Oreochromis niloticus: one gene and its partners. The protein of the gene in region 1 binds, or shares a complex with, the protein of each later gene. Links are inferred from orthologs where the notes say so. Each region holds a gene or a part of one and is shown in the gene's direction. Other genes may lie near its edges.

Region 1 (7,140 bases):
AGAACAGATGGGTTTGGCTGTCGGAGGGGCGCTTTTTTGAACTGCAGGTCCTTGAAGGGTAATACAGTTTGAAGCTGGAGGATCTCTATATAAATATCCGATAGCAGCTAGGTCCCCTAACTTTCAGCAGCTGTTGAAAGGATAAAGTTGTGGTATGTCAGTGGTTAGAAATACCATTATTACTTTAGGATTAGTTTAACACAAAGTCAGGGTTGACCCGGGACCATTGCTGTGAGTCACAGTGTGCAGCATAAAAGTCCTTTCACATCAGACGCAGGATGTGCTGCTAATGCGCAGCATAAAAGTCCTTTCACATCAGACGCAGGATGTGCTGCTAATGCTAACTAAAAGCAAAGGATCCAGAATTTGTTGCGCTGGCTGCTGAGCTCTGTGGTTTTTTGCAGCAGCTCTACCTGTACTAAATGCACCTGCTCCTTGTCGTTTCTATCTCTGACTTTATGTCCTCTACAAGAGTTTGGTTTTTTTGCTAGTTCTTTAGATGTTCAATAAAAACATGTATGCTAATTCATAACGAAGAAAGCTTTGTAGTGAAGACTGTCATTTCCAAAACACTGCCCCCTCCCCGCGGTCTGCAGCGCTGTTGAAAAGGCTGTGGAAGTCCCTGTATTAAGCACGTAAACCTGTGACACAAAAATCACCAAACTCGGACGACCACAGACTGTTTTCCTTCATGGTGATGAAGGAAAATGCTGGGTTGGCATCATTGACTGTAGAAAACATGGACGACGCGACTCCGCCTCCTCCCATTGTGCAAAAATGAAGCCAAAATACCCCGCTTGTGGAGGCTGCCATCTTGCAAATTTGGAGCCAGAGTCTGCGCAGTAGTGACTTGAGGTGGAGCGACTGTGTAACGCTCCCGCCCACACACCCGCTGGACTTGACCGTAAACACGCCCCCCTACACTTTTTACGTAGCCCGGCTGCTCGAGTTTTTTTGCTGGTTTACCGCGACTGATGACTCGTTTAATTAAGGTAAATACAACCATGTCACTGTTATAAAAAGACACACAGCTTATCATCTTATAGTTCTAAAATCACTTTGTTGTTAATTCGTTTGCTAGATTAGCCGCTAGCATACGCGCTGTGTTGGAGGCTTGTTGCTAGCTAGATGCTACACACCTGCTACTCTAATAGTCTGTGTTATTGAAGGATTCAGCACTTCTTATGTTTGTTTTTATCCATTTTTAGACAGCGATGAGATAATCTGCACACTCTACAGAGGCCCAGAGTTACTGTTAATATCAAAAATATAATGCTGTCCTTTGAGATTTTAACATAAGACTGTGAGTGTAATGGATCTAAAACGGTTTAAATCTTCAGAGCCCTCTACAGCCTGGTAACATGGAAACTTTAAAAACATCAGCAGAACGTTTCAGTAGTGTAGTCTAATTTGTTCTTTTCATTTAATAACAGAGTCCATATTATATCAACAGCTACATTCACCCTGGGGAGAAACTAGTGAGGGAGACCATCAGGACCAAGCTGGGTTTCCTGGGTCCAGAGGTTTGGAGAAACTTCTTCCTTTTCTTTCATCACAGCTGTCCTGTGCCAGAAGTTCTGTTGACTGACTGAGAGAGGCTTCATTTAAGAAACACCAGGAAGACTGAAGCTCATCGCATTGATCAAGCAGGACTCATGATCTTCACCAGCAGCTCCCTCACAGGGAAATCTTCAGCACTCCTCCATAGGCCCGATCCAGGAGATGGATAAACCCAGCATTTCATGAACACTGTGATGGAGACCTTTGGTTTGTGTAATGTTATAAATACTCGGATACTCCCCAGAGGCTCCAGACTTTTACATAAAGATATTATATTCAGTCCTGTAGAAAGTTATATATTTAAAAATATATGATCCTCTCTGGTTACTCTGGTATGAATAACTCTGAATCACTTTATGGTAAATAACACACTATCTGCAAAAAACTGTGAAAGAATTCCAGATGACAAGTTTGTAGTTCAACATACAAGTGACGACCTTTGACCTTCATCAGGTTTTATTTAATTGTGCCAGAGAAAATCTCATATGCTCTTCATGCAGCTGAGTACATCAAGTGTTTAAAACGGAAGCTGTGCAGGTCTGAGATCAGCAGCTTTGTGAAACACCAAACTGAGGTCCTGTTAATGCTGATATATAGTGACACAGTTACATGAGTGATTAATCCTTTTGGGTTTTTGTTTTTAACTTTATCAATAAAGCTGCAGCTTTCACTGACAGCACATGTGGTACTTTAACCTTTGTACTGTTTTCATCAGTTCATTTTGCAGTTAACATGTGAACATGTTGGATGATCTGTCTGCTGTCACTGGGTGGTGCTGAGGTCTGAATCTGAGGGCAGCCCCTGTAATCACAAAGAGAACAGAACCATCACAAACTCAAATATAAATTTTATCCCTCAAAATTGAAATAAAGCTGATTCTTCTGTCCTCACACACTCAGGATCTGAAGTTCTTCTCTTACATTTTTTTCAGTATTACAGTACTCTACAGTCCTTTAATCCATAGTTCCTGATTAATGAGGAGTTACTGAAGTACAAGCTTTTAAAAAAATGTTACTGTCTTTACAGATGTGGCAAGAGACTGAAAACATGCTGTTGTTTGCATATATTTGATATTCAGCTCTGCACAGGAGCTGAAGCAGCGTGCAGCCTGTTGCTTTTACAGTATAATACTTGTAATAAAAGTGCAGTAACAGTAATTAGTGACTGATTAGCCCGGAACGTTTCTCTTAATTTCTTTAGTAAGTTCATTCACCTGCACAGATTAGCTAAACGAACCCTGACAGCCGAGTGCTCATTTTAGCTAGCTAGGTCTCAGGACCTAGCTAAGGACGGTAGTTACGGATTAGCTTACAAACACGATTAACTTACCGAAAAAGTGCAGCGGGGCCTCGGGTCCTTCTGTCGGGTAGTCCAGTTTACTGAAGAACACCTCAGGCTGTCAAGTTAAAACACTCGGTCGTGTTTTCAGAACGTAAACGCTGGCCCTCCTCTCAGAGCCTACGCTCTATCTGCTATTCCCGCACACAGATACGCAAGTTTCTTCCGTGACTGCAGCTGTCAGTCAAAGCCGCTATGATGACGTTTCACCCCAATTTAACATCGCCGCTGTAGGAATGAGAATCAAACTTATGGGAAAGGAGACCCCTTGGACATCAATCAGCATGATGAGAACTATTGATAACAAAAGACAGAATCTTTGGAAAAAAATTATCTAAGGAGAATAAATTTATTTTAGTCTGACCCCAGTCCCATCCGCTAACATGGAGGAGGCGGGGTTTATGACCTATACTGCAGCCAGACACCAGGGGGCGATAGAGACATTTTGGCTTCATTTTTGGAGAGCTGTCGCGTCGTCCATGTTTTCTACAGTCAATGGTTGGCATATAAAAGGGCATTTATTCCCTTCAAGGACCTGCAGTTCAAAGAAGCGCCCCTCCGACAGCCAAACCCATCTCTTCTCTGATTGGATTGTTACATTTGTGATTGACATGACATTGACCAATCAGATGAAAGGAAGAAAAATAGGGTCAAAATTCGTACTTGTAACTTGCAGGGTTTTTTTGGCTAAGTCCACACACAAATCTTTTTTACGCACACACAAATTCTTTTTACACATACAAATCTTTTTACACATACAAATCTTTTTTACACACACACACACAAATTCTTTTTACACATACAAATCTTTTTTACACACACACAAATTCTTTTTACACATACAAATCCTGATTTACAAGTACAAAATATTTATGACCACATTTTGAGCCCATACCGCCGCCCCGCCCTCTCCTCCCTGTGCAGCAAGCAGCAGGCGCACCTCGCAAACAGAGGGCGCCCTTACTCCCAGCAAATGGGCGATAGAAAACCGATCGGTGCCTATGCCATCCCCAAAATGTGTTGGCCAATCAAAATCCGACACACACACACACACACACACACATATAAAATCTAATGAGAACATCTAATAATGTTAATTTCCTTCTGGGCTCTGATTGGTCAAAGCAGACATACAAAAAAAACGGAGTCGGATTTGTATTGTTTAATGATGACGTCAGTCATCCGATCCGGCAGGTGGCGCGCCTCGCAGTGGTTCTCCTACCTTAAATGAATCTTAGAAGAAGAAGGAGCTGGAGGCGGAAGTGGGTTTGAAAGCGCAGCGCGCGGCCGCAGCGGCACGAGGATAAGATGGCGGCGGCGTTGGAGCGCAGCTACATCGAGATCTGCGGGTTCGAGAGAGAGGCCGCGCGGAGGCCGCGCGAGCTCACTGCGAATCTAGGTAACTCCTGCACTTCACCTGCGTGCCCCTGACGGCGGCTAGCAGGGAGCTAACAGCCTAACGGCCCGTACCTGCTGGCGTTAGCGTGTTAGCTTCCTGCTAGCCGCGCGCGGCCTGGAGGTGTTTCTGTTGTTGTTGTTTTTTCTTCCGAACTCTCACCTGACTAGGTGAGCGCGCACTGCTGAGCAAGCGAGCGAGTAAATCTTCCTCCGTCTCCGTTTAGTATCAGCTAGCTCCGTTAGCTGCTCACCTGTTGCGCACCTTGTCACGCGTGAACCCGCGCTGATCACGTGACCTTGACCTGCGGTCGATGGTGTCTGCGCCTCCGGAAGCAGCTGATTATTGATCTGATAAACACTGTGACTTGCTGATCAGAGCCTCAGACACCTGCAGGTCAAGAACCTGTTCAAACCGGACTCACCTGTCTTTCCGGTCTGCAGGTGTGAGCGCAGCACCTGGCAGCCTGAAGTTTCCTGACAGCGCGGGAGCGTTTCATTATGAGGAGAGCGGGAAGCTGCTGTCGGTCATCAGCAACAGGTTCATCCACTGGTGGGTACCAGCTGCTCTCCAGGTGCTCTGCAGGTGCTGTCAGCCGTTCTCTGCTAACACTCTCACTCATGCAGGTCCACGTCTGGGGACTCGGTGGTGCTGGTGGAGCAGTCTCTGGACACCAACTTGCTGAACAACGCCGTCCGGCTCCGCTTCACCCACTGTGCTGTCCTGCCCGGAGGAGTCACCATCCAGGAGACGCTCAGCAACGTCGTCATCCTCATCTCCACCAATCACAGCGTCCACAGGCTGCTGTTGCCCCACCCCACACGCATGTACCGCAGCGTGAGTACCTGACGGTGACCCTCAGCCTGCATGCTGTCCTATGGTCCGTGAAGAAGCCACACCACCAGCTGCAGGACAGCGTGCGGTTGTTGATTACTGATTACCGTTATCAATTGATTAATGAAAGTGTCACTATGGACACGACAGATGACTCAGACTTTAAGGTCTGATACCAAACTACCAACAGCCGTGTGAGATTACCATAGTTACCATGGTTACCATAGAAACAGATTTAGGTGAACGTGAAATGTAATATTACAATCAATGTAGAAATCAGCAAAACATAACAAACAGAAGAAATGTTTTTAAAAATACCAGAGGAAGGCGCACGATGGAGAGCAAAGGGACTGAACAGAGTCTGTGTGTGAGTGATGGAGGACACTCAGACCATGGTGAGGTGGGTGGGGGTAGGCTGTTGTTAAGTGTCCAAATGGACGCTGTTAGAGTCTGGAGGTGTGGGACCTGACTGGCCTGAGGCGCCCACCAGAGGGCAGCTCTGAGCAGGACAAAAAGTCGTACTAATCAAATCAAATGGACACCATACACAGTAGAAAATACGCGTGTGTGCAAATGATACAATCATACAGCTGTTAGCACAATTACTACGGTAACTGTTAACGAGATAACTGACCTCGAACACTCCTCTGTGCGTGTGTAGGAGCTGGTCACAGAGTTGCACATGCAGTCCATCTTCACTGATGTGGGGAAGCTGAGCCTGCAGGACCCCGCCCACAGCGCCCTCATCCCCAGCTCAGTGGGAACCACGGCAAGTCCCGGCGCTTCGTTCGCCTGGCTCAGTTACCACGGAGACGCACACTTCGCTCTGGCTTCTCCTGCAGGAGGCATCACGGTGGTCACCCTGCCATCGCCCGATTCTCAGGGTGAGGGGGAATTTCTATGTTTAATGTGGGCGTGGTACCTCGGCCGGATTTTAAGACGTGTGCTCGCCGTTTCCAGGCAACATGTCGGTGCTGGAGTTGAAGAGGAGCTCTGTGATGCAGCGGCTGTCCGGGTGGATGCCCACGGCAATCCGCGGCGAGCACAGCCCGGCCGACCTCGTGCTCAGCCTGGCCGTGCGGGAGCTGGAGGAAGACTCCTTCATCTTTGCGCTGTGTCAGGACCACCGGCTGCGCATGTGGTCGCTCAGGGTGATGACATCACACACACGCACACAAACACATTGTTGATGTGTAACGTTTGAGTCGCCATGTGCTGACGTGACTTCCGCCCCCTCAGGAGCATGGCTGTCTGCTGGAGGCGGACATGTTGGAGTACATGCCGGCGTGTAAGGGCGTGAAGCGCCTGCCGGGCCATGGTCACCGCCTGCGCCTGGCGTTCTCCTCCACCACAGGCTTGTGCGTGTGCGTCTACCTCGCCGTCCCTCAGCGGGGGCAGTTCACCGTGTTGCAGCTGGTCGCCACAGACAACAACCGCTACAGCCTTGAGCACATCTCCACACTGTTCAGTACACAGGTGAACGCACGGGCGGATCCAGGGGGCGAGCCTCGTTTTTGTGTTTGTGGTTACTTTCTGCATTCTGAACCGCTCTCTGTGAACAGGAGACGCTTGTGGACTTCACGCTGACCTCCTCGGACATCTGGGCTCTGTGGGTGGACGAATCCAACGCCACCGTGGTCAAATACATCAGCTTCGAGCAGTGAGTCGAAATGCCAGTGTCTTCCTCCTGTCCTCTGCTGATATTTCCATGTTCTCTACCTGTTTCCATCATCTGTCTCCGCACATGTTCCTCACCTGTCGGCATGTTTCACAGCAACACGGCGGCTCAGTGGAACCAGGTGTTTGTTCAGCCTCCACCCGAAGAAGAAATCCACATCGGAGTGGACCTGGACCCCCGGGTGAGACCAGTTCAGACCAGTAACCAGTGTTTTAATGAACAGGTAGTGCTGACCATGTGACCTCTGACCCCCTGACAGGAGACATATCTCGAGGTTCTCTTCTCTCCCCTTCGTTTCACAGCCTCGGCCATTGTGAAAGCCCTGCAGGTGAGA
Region 2 (7,526 bases), on another chromosome or scaffold:
TACATGACGGTAACACGTCCTGAATACTTTATATCAGCAAGTTACAGGACAATGTCAACAAGCCTTAAATCATCTGAAAGTATCAGAAAGTACCAACACAACTCTAGATGACAACTCGTAACAAGTCCCATATAATTCTGTACCAGTGGGTCCAAGAAAATATCACGAATCCAAATCAAGACACAATTCAGCAACCTGCAAATCAAATATGAAACTTTTAAGTCTCTAAGAATCCCAAGACAAGAATAACAAGTCCCAATTCCAGTTTTAATGTAAGGCCAAACTAAATCAAGTTCCAAAGAAATTCTAACATCTTATAAAATCCACAGACAAAATAATCCCAAATAATGACCAACAACTCAAGGTAAGCAAAGTAAGCATTCCTAAGTCCAGTTCTAAGCCCATCGCATAATAAGCAGCATTACATAGGAAAACTGATTAGATTATCTAACACTAGATACTGAGTATTCAGTGATCTTTTACTTGGTTTGTGGCTGGGTCTCACCTGATAGTATAAAAGCTGCATGGAGTTCACCTGGAGCTCATGTTGCTTTGCCCCTACCCACTGAGAGAAACGTGGAGAACAGTTAATGACTTTACTTCAGTCTCTGTGGAGTGTTTTGTCAGCATATACATTTACTCACCACTTGGTAAAGTGATGTCACCAGAACTCCAAGAGACGCGAACACAATCCCCAGCAAGTTGAACCGCACATCATAGTACGAGTTCAGTATCACTCCTAATGTTATGGGTACCTGAGGAGAGGGGAACAGATTGTGCTGACATTGTCTCTCACTTACCCCAAAGTGACCCAAACCCCAGTATCCTGCAAGAATCATTCAGATTGGCATGTTTCTACAGCTCTAACAAGCAGATGGGGCTTTGCTAACCAGTGTAAGTTTAATCTTGGTGGAGAAGGTCTTCTTGTAGTAGGTAGTCTGGATGAGGATGATGACAGGAGTGGTCATTGCTTTAGCCAACTGGTACGTTCCTATCGAGTTGTTCTGTAGGGAAAGGTTGGTGAAGGCCACGAACCCGCAGAAGCTCAGAGCCAGCCACACAATCCTGCGAATCGGAAGGCTTTTTGGAGCAAAAACATCCATTTTCTGGCAGAAGTAGAGTCCCAGCCAAGTGACCACAAAGTGAACGAGGGTCAGTGTCATGTTGGGGAAGCCATAGTGTACGTAGATCCATTTGTTGATGAAGACGATACAGATGGAGGAGAACAGGTTGACCAGCAGGCCAGCGACAATGCGCCTGTCGGCTAAAAAGCTGGCAGCCATGATCTGGGAGGCCTCAGAGTTAAAGTTACTCAGATGGAGCTTTGTTGAACTTAGCTGAGCTGCTCACACTGGTGAAAGAGAGATACGAGTGTTAGAAAGTCTAAAACAAAAAAAGTCTAGAAGCTCATGGTACCATGCATGATTTTTACAGCTGCTTTAATACAGAAATGCAAATTCAAGTTAGATGAACCAAAAAAATAATATAGTCCAAACATTACTGGATTCTTTTCATGGTCAATTTTACACAGACAGGGCAGATTAATCAGTTTACCTATGATTAGAAACATGGGTTGGGTTCCATTTTTACCCCAGTTTAAATTTCTACCAAACAGGTTTACAATCATTTTTTCTCTTCAACAGAAAGATGTCCAGACATGTTTTATCTATTACTTTGACTCCACTAAGTTTGTAATAGAACTTTAACACCTCTTCCACCTGCATTGTTTGTTTACCATCAACCTGAATTTCCCGGAGGAACCTACCCAAGGGATTATTATTATTATTATTATTATTATTATTATTATCTATCTGCAAGCTACAACTAAAATAAGTGTTTTTCTATTTGAGAATCCAACAACTACAATAAAAAGTTCATTCAAAAAGGTTTAACAAAGTACTGAATTAACTATATGAAGGTAAAGATATTATCATATTTTTACATAGACCTCCATTTTTAAAGTCTCAGAAGTAATTGAGCAAACTAATTTAAATATAGGGATTATTTTTGATACTTGGATGAAAGTCAGTGATCACCAAAAGCTGCATTTACTACTTTGAGATGCTCCGCCATGCCTTTACTTCAGCTCCTGTCAGCTGCTGCTTGTTTTATTGGGTCTCACTGATTTCAATTTTGTCTTCAGTCACAGAAAGGCTGTTTTATTGGTTTGAGATCCGGTGATTGACATGTCCAATGAAGAATATCACATTTTTATTTTAGTTTACTTTTGCAGCCTTCTTTAGGTCATTATGAATTTCCACTTTGAAGCCATTTAATCGGTTTTGTGACATTTGTCTGAATGTGAGCAGCGAGTACAACCCTTTATACTTTGCAATCCATCCTCATGTTTCTGTCAGCAATCACTTCAAAAATAAGCATTAATAGTAACCAGTAGTTTGCACCTTGTTGTAAATCCTCTCCATTTCCATTCATGGAGTCATCTCTTAGTTATAGACTTTGACTGTGATAGACCTGCCTCCTCAAGAGTCTTTTACTTGGTTAGATGTCATGAAGTTGTTTTTATTATCCACTTTAATTGTCCGTAGTGGCCTTTTGGGCCTTTAGGTGCTGCTGGGCTGAGCAGTGCGTTGACTTGGTGACTTCTGAAGTTTCTGCTCTCTATCATAGATTTATTTGTGTATTTAGGGTAATAATGGCCTCCTTCAGTTAACCCACGTTGAGCGCCCCAGTGAAAAACTTTAAAACATAAATTCAGTATTGGGAAAAAGAACCAGATCTTTTATCTTCTGCGAGGGAGCAGGGCTCATCTGGCCTTGAAACTGCTTATCAGTTTGCCCAATTACTTCCGAGGCTGTGAAAATGGGAGACTGTGTTTATGTCTGTAATTCCTAATCAGTTAGTGGACTACTTTTAATAAACCAGTTGATAGTCTGTGCTTCAATCACATCTTCAGTGTTTAATTTAAAATCCACTCCAGGTGTGGCGCTGTACAAATAGTTATGGACCTAACTGAATATTACAGATTAATATTGGTGTTTTTACTCCAATACACTGAAAGCACACAGAAGAAAGTTCCTTAAATTGTAATCCAGTGTCGTAAATAACATAATAATCGTGAAGTCCTCTACAAGCTTTCAGACTACCGGAGGGAACATTTTGCCGTTTGTAACGGTTAACGGTTAAAATAACGGAGTTCTGCCTGATGCTCTGTCTTACTTTATGACTTACTTAAAACCATTAGGTGGAAACCGGTCGAGCTACTCGTTCACAGCTCCACTCACATCTAAAACGATACGTGGTATATATTTTTAAAAAAAAAAAGACTTATCCGCTTCTCTGTCTGTCTGCCACGCACTGTATAAAGTTTACCTCGGGTCATCTTTCCATCTGCCTCCCTGCTTCTCCTCCGTCTTGCCTCGCTGCCGCCAAACAAACCCCGGAGTGGTACCGGTCTTCCCCGGCGTTCGAATCTCCTCTCCCGGCCTCTGCAGTGCCCAAACCCCCGCTGCTGCGCCGGAGGAATGTCTTCCCTGCTCTTCCGCAGATCGTAACACAGCCGTGACTTCCAGCAGGAGGAGAAGAAAAAAACACCCAGTGAGTGAGTGAGTATGTTCCTGCTTCCTCCCAGTTTAACACCGTTTACCGTTTGTGTCTATCAAGCAACAGCGGCTGCTAACGGACCGGAGGGAAGAGGAGCGCAGAGGTGGTGTATGTGGCAGATGTCTCACTCCATAGAGAAAACCGGGTGGAGCCCAGTCCTCTGCAGAATTGCTTTAAGTCAGCCACAATGAAGGGTTTTCCAGCCTGTTTAAGTCCGTGCCAAAGCATCTCAGTCTGATTTAAGTCCAAACTACCACACAAAGAACCTAAAGAGCAGCAGTCCCAGACCATCACACCACCACCGTGTTTGACTGTTAGTATGATGTTCTTTTTATGAAATGCGGTGTTAGTTTTATGTCAGGTGTAACAGGACTTAAACCTTCCAAAAGTATATTTTCACCAAAATATTCTGTGGACTTTGGGGTCATCAAGATGTTTCTTGGCTAATACGAAACTAGCCTTTGGCCCGTCTTTGGTCAGTGGTTTTCTCCTTGGAACTCGCCATTTTTGCCCAGCCGTTTTCTTATTGTTGAATCATGAACTCTCACCTTAACTGGGGAAGGTGAGGCCTGCAGTTCTTTAGATGTTGTTCAGGGGCTTTTGTGACCTCCTGGTTGAGTCATTGATGGGCTCTTGGAGGTTTTTTTGGCTGGCAACTCCTGGGAATTTTCACCACTGTTGCAAGTTTTGTGGATAATAGATGTCACTGTGGTTACCTGGAGTCCCAAAGACTTAGAAATATCTTTGTAACCCTTTCTACAGTGATAGATGTCAGTGACTTTGGTTCTTATCCATTTCTTTATATCGTGGCATTATGTGTTGCTTTGAGATCTTTTAGCTTACATCAGACAGGTTCTATTTTAGTGATTCAATAGATCTGGACGTAATCAGATTTGGATTGTTTTTTTTTTTCTATGATTAATAAAATACTTAAGTTTACAAAAAACAGTGGAGACATATACAAGGCTGGATGCAATCTAATTGCGACTCGTGGGGGCAGCAGTGTGAATTAAGAGACGCAGTCTGCTGAGAATTGAAAAGAAGTAGAAGAAGAAACCCCGTTAAACCTCGTGAAGCGGGAACTGATAACTCACCGCTATGGACTGGTAAAAACATTGTTTTTAAGCGTTATTCAGCAGTTATACACATTTTATTCTTATGTATGTTTAGTTGTGCATGTGTCTGGTGATTACAGACCGTTGGCTTCTTATTAGTCCGCTAGTGTGCTAAATTCAGGGACTTCAACTTTGCTAGCTGACGCTAACAATGCTAACAGCGCTAATGCTGCCGTTCACAGTGAATGGCGAGGCTAACCGGCTAAATGCTCTGGTTTGGGTACGTTGACAGTCGGGAACAAGAGCTGCTCTCCAGGGTGAATAAAATAAGAACTACTGGTTTAGTAGAGCTGTTAGCAGCCAGTATTTTGGAAGAACTACTGCAATTAGGGAAGTATTACATAAAGTTAGATTTACTAGGTTATAACTGAACTACGTTAAGTGTTATAAAGATTGCAATATGTTGTTGTTTTATGAGTACTAACATTTGATATGCTCTCAGCTATATAGATCAGCCATATATGGCCAAATTGTTTGCTGTAGTTGTTTTATTTACATTGCATGGGTTCACACAGACCTGTGACGCTTCTTGTTAGTTTAGGCACAGTTAAAGCCAGTGACTAAAATGTTTTTTAAAGAGAACCGTCGGAAGTGCCACGGCTTTTTTGTGTTGAACCCACAGTAACCTTTTATAAGTGATTAGAAAATTAAATTGCCCTTTGTCTTCTTTTGACTGCTTCTAGTAATTTAAAGATTTAAATGTAATGTCAAGAACAAGGTTGATGTCCAGAGCTGTGTCGGCTACAGAGAGATAAAGATGATGAGCCATACCATGAAGCTCTGGGAAAAGAGATGCTGAAGCTAAGAAGTGAGGGCCTTAAAAAGCAAGAAGCAATATGGCTTCACGGAAGGGCAGGTTTACAGGATCTTAGTGAGACCTGCTAAAATGTATGGTTTGGAGATGGTGGCACTGAAAAAATAGGTCGTCAAGCTGAAGTGACCAGGATGGACAGGATTAGATACAAGGACAGCTCAGGCTGAGATGGTTTGAACATGTGCAGAGGAGGGACTCGACAAAGGATGTTGAAGATGGCCTCAGGAGATTCATTGATGGTGTAAAGGTGGACTTGGAGAGGAGAATTTTAGGGACAGGATGACGGGTAGGGAGATGATCTAATGTCGCGACCCCTAAAGAGAGCAGAGAAAGAAAAAAGATGTAAATTCAGTGGTGTAAAAGCCTCTGAACTGCACATAAATTAATATGTTTATAATTCTCTAGGTAATGTGCTTTCTTGTGCTTCATCTTGTCCTTCAGGGCTCAGAGTGAGCTGCCGTCTCCGGTGGTTCGAGACGACGAGGTAACGGTTGCTGCCCGCAGGAGGAGGAAGAAAGTGGCCTGTATCCTGCTGCAGAAAGACTTTGACCTGATTCCTGTCCAGCCCCTACACCCACCCATTCACCCCAGCAGCTGCTGATGGGTCTTTTAATAAAGGGGAAAGGTGGAAATATAGCTGCAAGCTTTATGGTACATTCACCTTTCTGAAATGGGAACAGGAACCTGTAACCCTACGATTTAAACTGTGATTTGTCCCCTCTTGTCCATTTTAGATGGTGGAGTCACAGAATTGGAGGGCTTGATAACCTAGTTCAATTAATGTCGGTTGGTTTGGACTGCTTCATTTGGTGGAGCTTACACACACAAACGCATAAACACAGTCCAGGTGGGACATGGTGTATGGGTTGGATTATAAATGAGCTGCCATTGGTGTGTTACTGTATGGTGCAGAAATTGCTGTGATTATTGAGTCATGGTTAAGCTCTGTAGTATGAAGCAAGTGCTTCATGCTTCATTTCTATTTTAAAAAAAGTGGATTTTGTATTTCACTTTACTAATGCACTAAACTGACCGATTGATTGCCACCTGCATCTGTGTTTAGTATGGTGGCATAAGTAGACTGGAAGAGCTTAATTTATCTGGGTTTTTGTTGTGTGGAGTTGTTTGCTACAGTGTTGATTGATAAAGTAGAAGCTGCTTGTTTTCCTGACTGTTGCTGTCAGTCCCATCACCCGGTAGCGGCAGCCCTGTCATTTCCACAGTGACACCAGCCCGGCCCTTGCTGAGGAACACACCTGCTTCACTCTTCAGACAAGCAGGTAAGATAGATATATGACAGACAGACCCACAGGTATCAGAGGCATTTATATTTGACTAAATCTCCACTCTCTTCTCATTCATCTGTTTGTCTCAGTTACTCCCAGAGTTCCAGATGTTTCATCCATTTTGGCCCCAGGAGGTCGAACGCCTCGATACACACACACGCCCAGAAACGCACTCAGCAGTCTGGTAAGACACACACTTTTCTATTCATGTATATATATTTTGTTAAATAAATGAAAACGTGAGTTCTTCGCACTTCTACTGTTTTCCATGACACAAAGAACGGTCTCTTTGTATTAGTGATGTCACAAACTTTCTTTAATGTGAAAATACAGACAGCAGAAAAACATATTAATTAGTGAGGGTTTTGTTTAGGTAGTTGAGTTGTGATTGGTGGAAATGCTGTCACTAACCCAAACAGGCCAGCTGCTGACCAGTTAGCTTGCTCAGATACTCCAGACCTTCAGTGTATCAGTTTTGTCAAACCCTTCTTGAACTTAATGATGTATTACTTACAATCATATTATGTTGAACTCACTGCTAACTCCATGATGATGCTGTGTGTGTGTGTGTGTGTGTGTGTGTGTGTGTGTGTGTGTGTGTGTGTGTGTGTGTGTGTGTGTGTGTGTGTGTGTGTGTGTGTGTGTGTGTGTGTGTGTGTGTGTGTGTGTAGAATCTGGACGACAGTGATTGGACTAACAGCATGTACACGTCGCCTGTTTCGGGTCTGGAGAACACAAGTTTCTTCAGAG
Region 3 (7,628 bases), on another chromosome or scaffold:
AATACGCTCATGTTGAAGATAAGGCAGCTGACGTTTCAGAGACAGAAAAAAAAAACATGTCTTGCTGTGAAGCAGAAATGAAGGAATAATGATAACCATCTGGTTCTGGCTGTACTTTTAAAAAAAGAGCTGTGTGACAAACATCTCTTTTACCCTGATGGGAGTCCAAGGAACAGATAACACTGTGATTGGGTTTCCATTCTTCCACAAAGTTGAACCCTTATTTGACTTTCAAATAAAAAGGATCTCAGACCTCATGTTCTATTACATATTTTTTTACTTTTGTGCACAGCTCTTTTAGAAAACCTTGGGAATTGCTTTTGTAGCAATGCAAACACAGCTGCAATTAATAGAGAATCAGAGTGATGCTCAGTGCAGTGCTAATTCATACAAAAGTCAAAATTCCTGCATGCCATTACAGCAAGTAGCTTGGCAGAGAACAGCTTAAAATCTGAGCTAATCCATAACAGCAGGAGGAAAAGATTAGATGTCTTCTGCGATTACTGTGAAATCACAGATGACGATAAGGGAGGTTCATTTAAGGGATGCAAGAGCCACGTAAAGCGTTAAAGCTACGCTATCAAGGTGGTATTTGCATTAAAGCTGTAGACCTTAACTGCATTTGAGGAGGAAGAGAAGAACTGCAATAGAAACCTTTTCAAGGAAAAGTGAAACAACAACTGTGATGAGTTACTGTCTGATGGATGGATGGATCTTTTAGCACGTGATGTGTCTGTTAAATGTGATTAAAGTATTTGAGACTTTTGGCCAAGCTTTAGCTGTCAGACAAACGGCCTGTGGCTCTGTGGCTTAAAAACAAACCCAAATCGTGACCCCTCCACCTCGCTTAATAGTTGGCATGAGTTAATCAAGTACAAGTTGATTAGCAACACCTGGCTGCTACTTGTCCCCTTGATCCCTATTGAAGTAGTAAAGGTGTACTTAGTTTTTCAGAGGATCGCACATAGTCCTATGAAAACCTTCTTTTTAAAATGCCTGCATATATTTTACGGTAAATTTTAAGATGCCCTGGCATAACTGCTTTTTTTGGCATCTAGAATACAAACATATAATCTGCAGTCATTAAATGCATGTGTGAAAAGTGTCAAAGAATTGAAAGTAAATGGTTTAATTGTATCCTATTCGGTTGTAAAACACGATTAACTGTGTGCAAACTTCAAAGTCGGGCCTCTAAAACATTAAGTAACTCCAGTAATGATTTCCTTATGATGTTAAAACAGCATAACCTGTAAGCACTTGCAAGCCTTGCTCCACAGAGGGCAGGCAACTCTCCCAGTAAATGTTATTTCTATACACCCGTGTCTTTTTGCCAACTGTAAATGGTGTGCAGCGATGCAGGGTAAAGGTCAATTAAAAGAAAGCAGGATTATTGTTAATAACACCTAAACATGTTATTTAGAATACAATCCAACAGCTAACTATCAATTACATCAAGTGTATATATGATTAGTAGCAGAGGTGTACAGAGGAGCACTCGACAGATATTTCTGGGGAAATAATACTCCAAGTCGAGTTCCCCCCATGTGGTGAGAACAGAAAATAACAAGGAGTCTATTTAACTGTAGCTACACTCTGCTTATAAAGATCTATGCCCATTTAGGAAATGATCAGTGTTAGTGTAATGCCTCAGGGCCATAATCACCTGTCTCTCGCAGTAGGCCTTCATGAGTTTGATGAGCGGTGTGTGTCTTTTGATCTTGAACTGCACTACAGATCCATCCTGACCCGCTACCTTCAGGTTTATGTGTTCATTGTTTTCTGTCTTCACTGATTCCTGAGGGATAAAAGCACAGAGAGAAACACAGTGAAGGAACAAAAAAAAATGACTTTGACTAACCAGAACATTGCACTAGTTACAGGTTTGCAGGGGGAAAAGGCTGCACGGTATTTTCTGTTATTATTAAATGCGTAATTTCAGTCCCTTTAGTGCCTTCGGTGGTCTTTTAATTTTGCAGAAGCGTGATGAAATAATGAATTCACACCTAAACAGCTCACCAGGTGGCTAGGGAAGAATATTGGCAAGAGCTTATTAATATCCATGACATTATCAATTGTGCTAATTCTTTATTGATTCTTGATCAATTTTCTTTTGGAGGAAGAAAGCAGGCAAATGTCAGTATCAACCCAGCCGTGTCATTATCGCCAAAACAGAGTAGGAAAAGACTGAGCTGTACAAAAGCAGCACTGCTATGAGTTTGACTTCACTTTCACAATGTGTAACTGCCAGAAAGATATGTCAGCATCCATAAAAGGAAGGTTGATAAGCCCAAAGGCGTAAAATTCCCCAGGACTGGAGAATGCGCGACCAGTTTGATTTGCATATTTTGAAATTGTTTAGATATACAGTGCTGTGCAAAAGTGTTGAGCCACCACTCATTTCTTATATTTTGTTAGGATAATGGCAAATAGTTGCAGCAATTTATTGAAACATGCAAACGTATTTGAGAATACAGTATGAGCTTGAAAATCAATATTTCATATGACCAGACTTTATTGTTCCAACACAGCCTGAACTCTCCAAGGAAAGCCTTCTTGTAATTTCTTTAAGTAGTCTAGGTAGTTATCCAAGGTTCTTGAAGGACATTCAAAGCTCTTCTTTGGATGTTGACTGCTTTTTGGTCTAATCTCTTTCAACATGATGCTACACTATTTCAATAATGTTGAGGTTCAGGTTCTGGGGAGACCAACCCATCACCGACATTGTGTTCCACTGTTTTTAAAAAAAATTATTTTCTTTTTTATCCAAGGTGTGCTTTTACTGCGCTCAAAAATGAGCCTTTTGCCAATCAGATGCTTTCCAGATGATTACACGGTGGATCAAAATCTGACGGTACTTTTCTGTGTTTCCATCAGCTGTGACAAGATCCCCCAACACCATTGGCTGAAATGCAGACCCAAACCATGACAGAGCCTCCACTGTGTTTGACAGATGGATGTAGACACTCACTGCTGTACCTCTCTCTTGACCTCCTCTGTACATATTGATGATTTAAATCAAAAAAAATTATAAATCTCAGTTCTTGTCTAATTTTGATACCTCAGCTTTTTCTCCTCGTTTTTCTCTTCCTTGAAAATGGCTTCTTGCCATTTCTGATGAGGCTTCAGAGGACAGTAGATGGATCATCTGAAGGTCCAGGTGCATGCCTCAGGTCCTGTGTCAGGTTTTTGCCGAATTTTTCCCATTTCTTATGGGCATGAATTTCAGATGCTGATCATCTGTTCATCTTAAAGTCTGTAACCTTTTTTGTCCTCCACTTGTCCAATTTCCTAAAATGTAAGGACACACTGTACACAGTGCTGAGATATGCTAGGTCTTTTCCCAAAGTGGGAATCACTTTGTTGGTGCAAAAACACAATTTTAAGCCTTTTGTGGCATAAAAAAAGTAAGTTAAAGAAATGTGTTTTCCAAATAGGAAAAAACACGAAAGACCTGGAAAACTTGGGTATGATCACTGAGTAGGCAAAACAGAGAGTAATGAGGGATGGCTCAAGACTTTTGCACAATACTGTATACAAACTATTTCTCGGATTAAACAAAATTTAAAATTTAAAAAATTTAAATCTTAAATCCTCCCTTTTCGCTTCGCCTGCAGACTCAGAGTGAGCCTGAGATCACCACAGTGATGATTCATATAGTTTCAGTGGCACCAACAGATTCTCACCGGTACACTCTCCCACAGTGGCACAAGCCATTCACACATGCAAGAACGCAAACGCAAACGCAAACACACACACACACACACACAAACACACACACACACACACACACACACACACAGGCGAAATGAGGCATGCAGTGGGGATGACACCAGCTGGTTGGCTGTGTGTTATCAAGCAGAAAGAGGTCCGCGCGCCATTGGATGCGCGTTCACAAACCTTCCGGTCTATCAAAGTAGGTACAGCTAGTAGTTGAATTTCAGCTTGTAACTTTGCAAAAAGGCACAGCGAAACATGCGGAAATAACCGTATTTCTACACACGCACGTGTCAAAAAAAATCAGGCGGAGTAAACTGGCATTTCAATCCACTGTGGAGACACTCACCTTTGGTTTTTCATCAGCCATGGTCACTCTTTTGGCGCTTCTCTACACTGCCACACAAAGAACACGAGTACGCGCACGTACACGTGCCCGTTTAGACTATTACAACCGAACGTGCGCGGCCACGCGCCCATGCGCGTCCACCTCAACGAGCGTTGAGTGGACACCGAGTAGTCACGAGGTTGAAAGCGCAGTCTGGGCAAGGGCGGGAGAGTCACAATGCGCGTTAAAGAGGCAGGCAGATGCACGTGCACGCGCACGGCGATGTTTTCCCTTTTGTTTTCAGGTTTTGAGAAGCGGTTATCTCATTAAATACCCCTTATCGCCCTGCTGAGCTCGCATGGGTGCAGCATAGTTCAGTCAGCATCACCACACATGATCCTCACTGCATGGGGAGAGCCAAATGTGCACTTTTCCATTTCCTTTTTCGTTTTAACCCTTTAAATACCAGTGGCCATCTTGTTTTTTTGTTTTTGCCTGATGGTGATGTGTAGGTGTACTGAACCAATGGTGGCCTTTACGAACTCAAACTGTAACAGTACAGGGCAAAGCTGCACTGATTCTTCACAGATTCAATTGGAGACATTAGTGTGGGTAGCATGTTTGTGGATAGCAAAAGACAAACCCAGCTTCTTAATGCTGGTAATGACCTCTCGTAGGTGAGTCCGGGGAGGCAGTTATAAAGTTAGTGATAAGCTGTATTTTCTGCATTTGTCGCGATAAATCCAAAATCCCGAGTCAAGCTCAGCCGACGGAAAAACAGGCAGGTAGACGGGCACCCCTTTCGGTGACATCGTAACGCATGCGCAGCAGGTGCTTTCGACTGAAAGAGCGAGGCGCGTAAGCAGTACCGGTCCACATTTGCAGTTCATGGCGTGTTTATAGCCAAAAAAGTTCACATTGTTGTCTTTTCTGTGTCGATGATATTGTTCCCAGATGGAGGAGGTAGACGTTGAGCCCACTATTACTGTAAGTAGCCACTGTAGCTTAGTGCTTTTAACTCCTCATTGGCACTAAATGGCTTTGCTAACAGGCTAACTTTCGCAAACACCTATTTTAACGACCCGTTTGAATATTTATATTGTAAGTTGTCAAGAAATGGAAAGGGGCACACACTCAGCCATGTCACAAGTATAAAAGTGGCAAGATTATAAGAAGATGAGTTAGAATTACGAGCAGCATTAACTACAGTTTGAGTTAGTAATATAGCTAGACCATGTCTCAGTCACCACTCAACCTTCTCACATAATATTATAATTAAATCTGAAACGGAATGATTTAATTTTAACCCTCATCATGTTATTCACATCATTTTCAGTGTAGTAACAGTGTTTCTCCTTTTTTAATTGCAGAATATCCCTGCAATCAGTGATGGAAAGCACATGGGATTTGCATGGGGTCCTGGTGATATTCTTGTATATGAGACACTATACAAAGCATCAGGTATGTTTCAAAATTAGCACAGGACACCATGTATGCTTTCACAGTTTCCCTCTGTTTCTCCTTTTCTTTTTAAGAGAATGAATGGTGTAGTGAATGCCTGTGAAATGTCTGCTACAATGTTGTGAAAAAGTATTTTCCGCTTGTTGATGTCTTATTTTTTTTTTGCGTGTTTGTCACACTTACATGTTTCATATTATCAAACACATTTTGATTTTTGATGACCAGATGAAATATAAAAGGCAATCAGTGCTATCAGGCCCTGTTGTTGTGTTTTGTTTTGTTTTTGTTTTTTTCTTAAAAAGGTAATTGCCCCCAAACTTAGTAACTGACTGTGCCACTGTTGGCAGCAAGTAATGCAATCAAGCATTTGGGATAACTGGCAGCGAGTCTTTCACATCGCTGTACCCACTCATCTTGGCAGAATTGTTTTAATTTAGTTTATTGTTTAGGTAACTTTTTCATAGCACTGTTTGATGTGTTTTACTATAGTTTTTATGATTACTTTTAGACATGTGCATATATACATTTTTCAATAAACATATTTTGAGCCATTTTTTTCAGACATTTAAATTTTGTTTTATATGTGTAATGACAATAACTATAATATTACTGTTGTTCTTTCACCACCTGCCTTTGTTTCAGGTGCTTCAGGATCAGGTTGCTCATTCATCCATGAGATCAGGAAAGATGAGGACATATATTCCCCCATTTTACGCAAGCTTTTTAACGAGTCTCACCACATCTTCGTCGGCCTGCAGACAATTAGAGAGGAACTCCCTAGCAAGAGTAAAAAACCCCAGTAAGGACGCGTGGTGCAATCCCACCTCTGTTTGTTCATATTGTTGGATTGCATATCGGTGGCATAACAATAGTTGAAAAAGTCACACAAAGCAGCACCCACTTTGTATGTTTTACAATTTTACCTCTGCCTTACTCCTTAGATTTGTTAGTATCAGCAAAAATTATCGATCCGTGATCCGTGCTTGTATGGAGGAACTTCAGCAAGTTGCAGGTAATACTGTTGAAATATACTTCTTTTGGCAAAAAATTTCAATTTGATGTAACCATAAAAGTTTTGGCAGTTTTTTCAAATTTCTATTTTATAGTCTTGTTTATACAATAAAAACAAAGGAAATGTGTGTGATTACTCACTAAACAACTTTTCCTTTTTGCAGTTTCTACCAGAAATGTAGAGTTGGCCACTCAGTGTGGAAATCAGGTAAGTACTAATGTTTGTGTGGCAGTAACGTTATCTGGACTAGTCCACATACAGAGCATGTGTGAGTGTCTCTGTCAGTAATTGACTAATAATGTCATGATTTAATTGAGTAGCGTGGCACAGCTCTGTGGGTTTTATGACCACAGTCAAACTGCCTGTATTTGAAAGGGGACATTAATGCTCAGTTAGTGAGGAAGAATCCACATTCAGTTTTTTACTCAGATGTACATTTCGTTGCATTGTTTAGTGGCATTATCCTGACCCTGATCTGCTTTGTTTTGTTAAAGGTGTCCATTCTTTTGGCCATAGAACTGATCTGGAATCTGTGTGAAGTGCTGTTCATCGATGCTGCTCCAGGTTGGAATCCGCATCTTATGACTGGATTTTTGGGGTTGTAGAAACACCCAAACAAACGTATCTGCAACATGGCTGTGTCTGTGTTTTCAGCAGGCTCCCTGTTGCTCCACCTGCTGGACTGGGTAAGGTTACATAAGGCTGACGTGGACGAGAGGGCCAGAGAGGTGCTCCAAAGTGAGAGCCCTGCTGAGCACCACGACTACTGGGACGTGGTAGGTGCAGCATGTTACATCTTTAAAATTACATCTCCACTGTTGGTGTTCTGCATTTGCTGCTTCATCTGTGTTTTGTCTGTTATGAATTCTCTGGAGAGACCTGAGTGATCACATGTGTGTGCTGTGCAGGTGGTGAGTTATGTGCTGCAGGGCAGGTTGGAAGAAGTCAGACAGATGCTGGTGAAACAGGGCACCTTACAGCCTGCTGCCAGGAGCATGTACAAGCAGATGGATACCTTGCTCAGCAAGATGCCCTTCTACAATGTAAGATGAAAATGCAGTGGTTTATTTCCTTTGAATGATAGCTGAAATTGTTTTAATCATGCTTCTAAAT

What was found. Proteins that work in one complex are often made in the same cells at the same time.
Region 2: nup160 (region 1) and nup107 share a complex: the UniProt entries of both Homo sapiens proteins name them as parts of the nuclear pore complex. The link is inferred for Oreochromis niloticus from reciprocal best matches to the Homo sapiens genes NUP160 and NUP107.
Region 3: nup160 (region 1) and nup85 share a complex: the UniProt entries of both Homo sapiens proteins name them as parts of the nuclear pore complex. The link is inferred for Oreochromis niloticus from reciprocal best matches to the Homo sapiens genes NUP160 and NUP85.

The regions. Positions count from the first base shown.
Region 1 is NC_031972.2:2,109,269-2,116,408, reverse strand, and holds the start of nup160 (nuclear pore complex protein Nup160), read left to right. Parts: upstream 1-4,136; 5' UTR 4,137-4,206; coding exon 4,207-4,297; intron 4,298-4,737; coding exon 4,738-4,846; intron 4,847-4,920; coding exon 4,921-5,131; intron 5,132-5,789; coding exon 5,790-6,012; intron 6,013-6,088; coding exon 6,089-6,279; intron 6,280-6,367; coding exon 6,368-6,604; intron 6,605-6,690; coding exon 6,691-6,788; intron 6,789-6,902; coding exon 6,903-6,987; intron 6,988-7,065; coding exon 7,066-7,134; intron 7,135-7,140. UniProt on the Homo sapiens protein: Functions as a component of the nuclear pore complex (NPC). Involved in poly(A)+ RNA transport.
Region 2 is NC_031981.2:19,599,203-19,606,728, forward strand, and holds the start of nup107 (nuclear pore complex protein Nup107), read left to right. Parts: upstream 1-4,511; 5' UTR 4,512-4,659; coding exon 4,660-4,667; intron 4,668-5,931; coding exon 5,932-6,014; intron 6,015-6,020; exon of another isoform or gene 6,021-6,115; intron 6,116-6,224; exon of another isoform or gene 6,225-6,472; intron 6,473-6,674; coding exon 6,675-6,770; intron 6,771-6,865; coding exon 6,866-6,960; intron 6,961-7,447; coding exon 7,448-7,526. Other genes in the region: slc35e3 (solute carrier family 35 member E3), read right to left, coding at 506-565, 645-755, 891-1,283. UniProt on the Homo sapiens protein: Plays a role in the nuclear pore complex (NPC) assembly and/or maintenance. Required for the assembly of peripheral proteins into the NPC. May anchor NUP62 to the NPC. Involved in nephrogenesis.
Region 3 is NC_031969.2:17,372,230-17,379,857, forward strand, and holds the start of nup85 (nuclear pore complex protein Nup85), read left to right. Parts: upstream 1-4,613; 5' UTR 4,614-4,896; exon of another isoform or gene 4,897-4,900; intron 4,901-4,996; coding exon 4,997-5,029; intron 5,030-5,412; coding exon 5,413-5,503; intron 5,504-6,145; coding exon 6,146-6,302; intron 6,303-6,444; coding exon 6,445-6,515; intron 6,516-6,678; coding exon 6,679-6,722; intron 6,723-7,009; coding exon 7,010-7,079; intron 7,080-7,169; coding exon 7,170-7,291; intron 7,292-7,423; coding exon 7,424-7,558; intron 7,559-7,628. Other genes in the region: small ubiquitin-related modifier 2, read right to left, coding at 1,664-1,795, 4,064-4,084. UniProt on the Homo sapiens protein: Essential component of the nuclear pore complex (NPC) that seems to be required for NPC assembly and maintenance. As part of the NPC Nup107-160 subcomplex plays a role in RNA export and in tethering NUP96/Nup98 and NUP153 to the nucleus.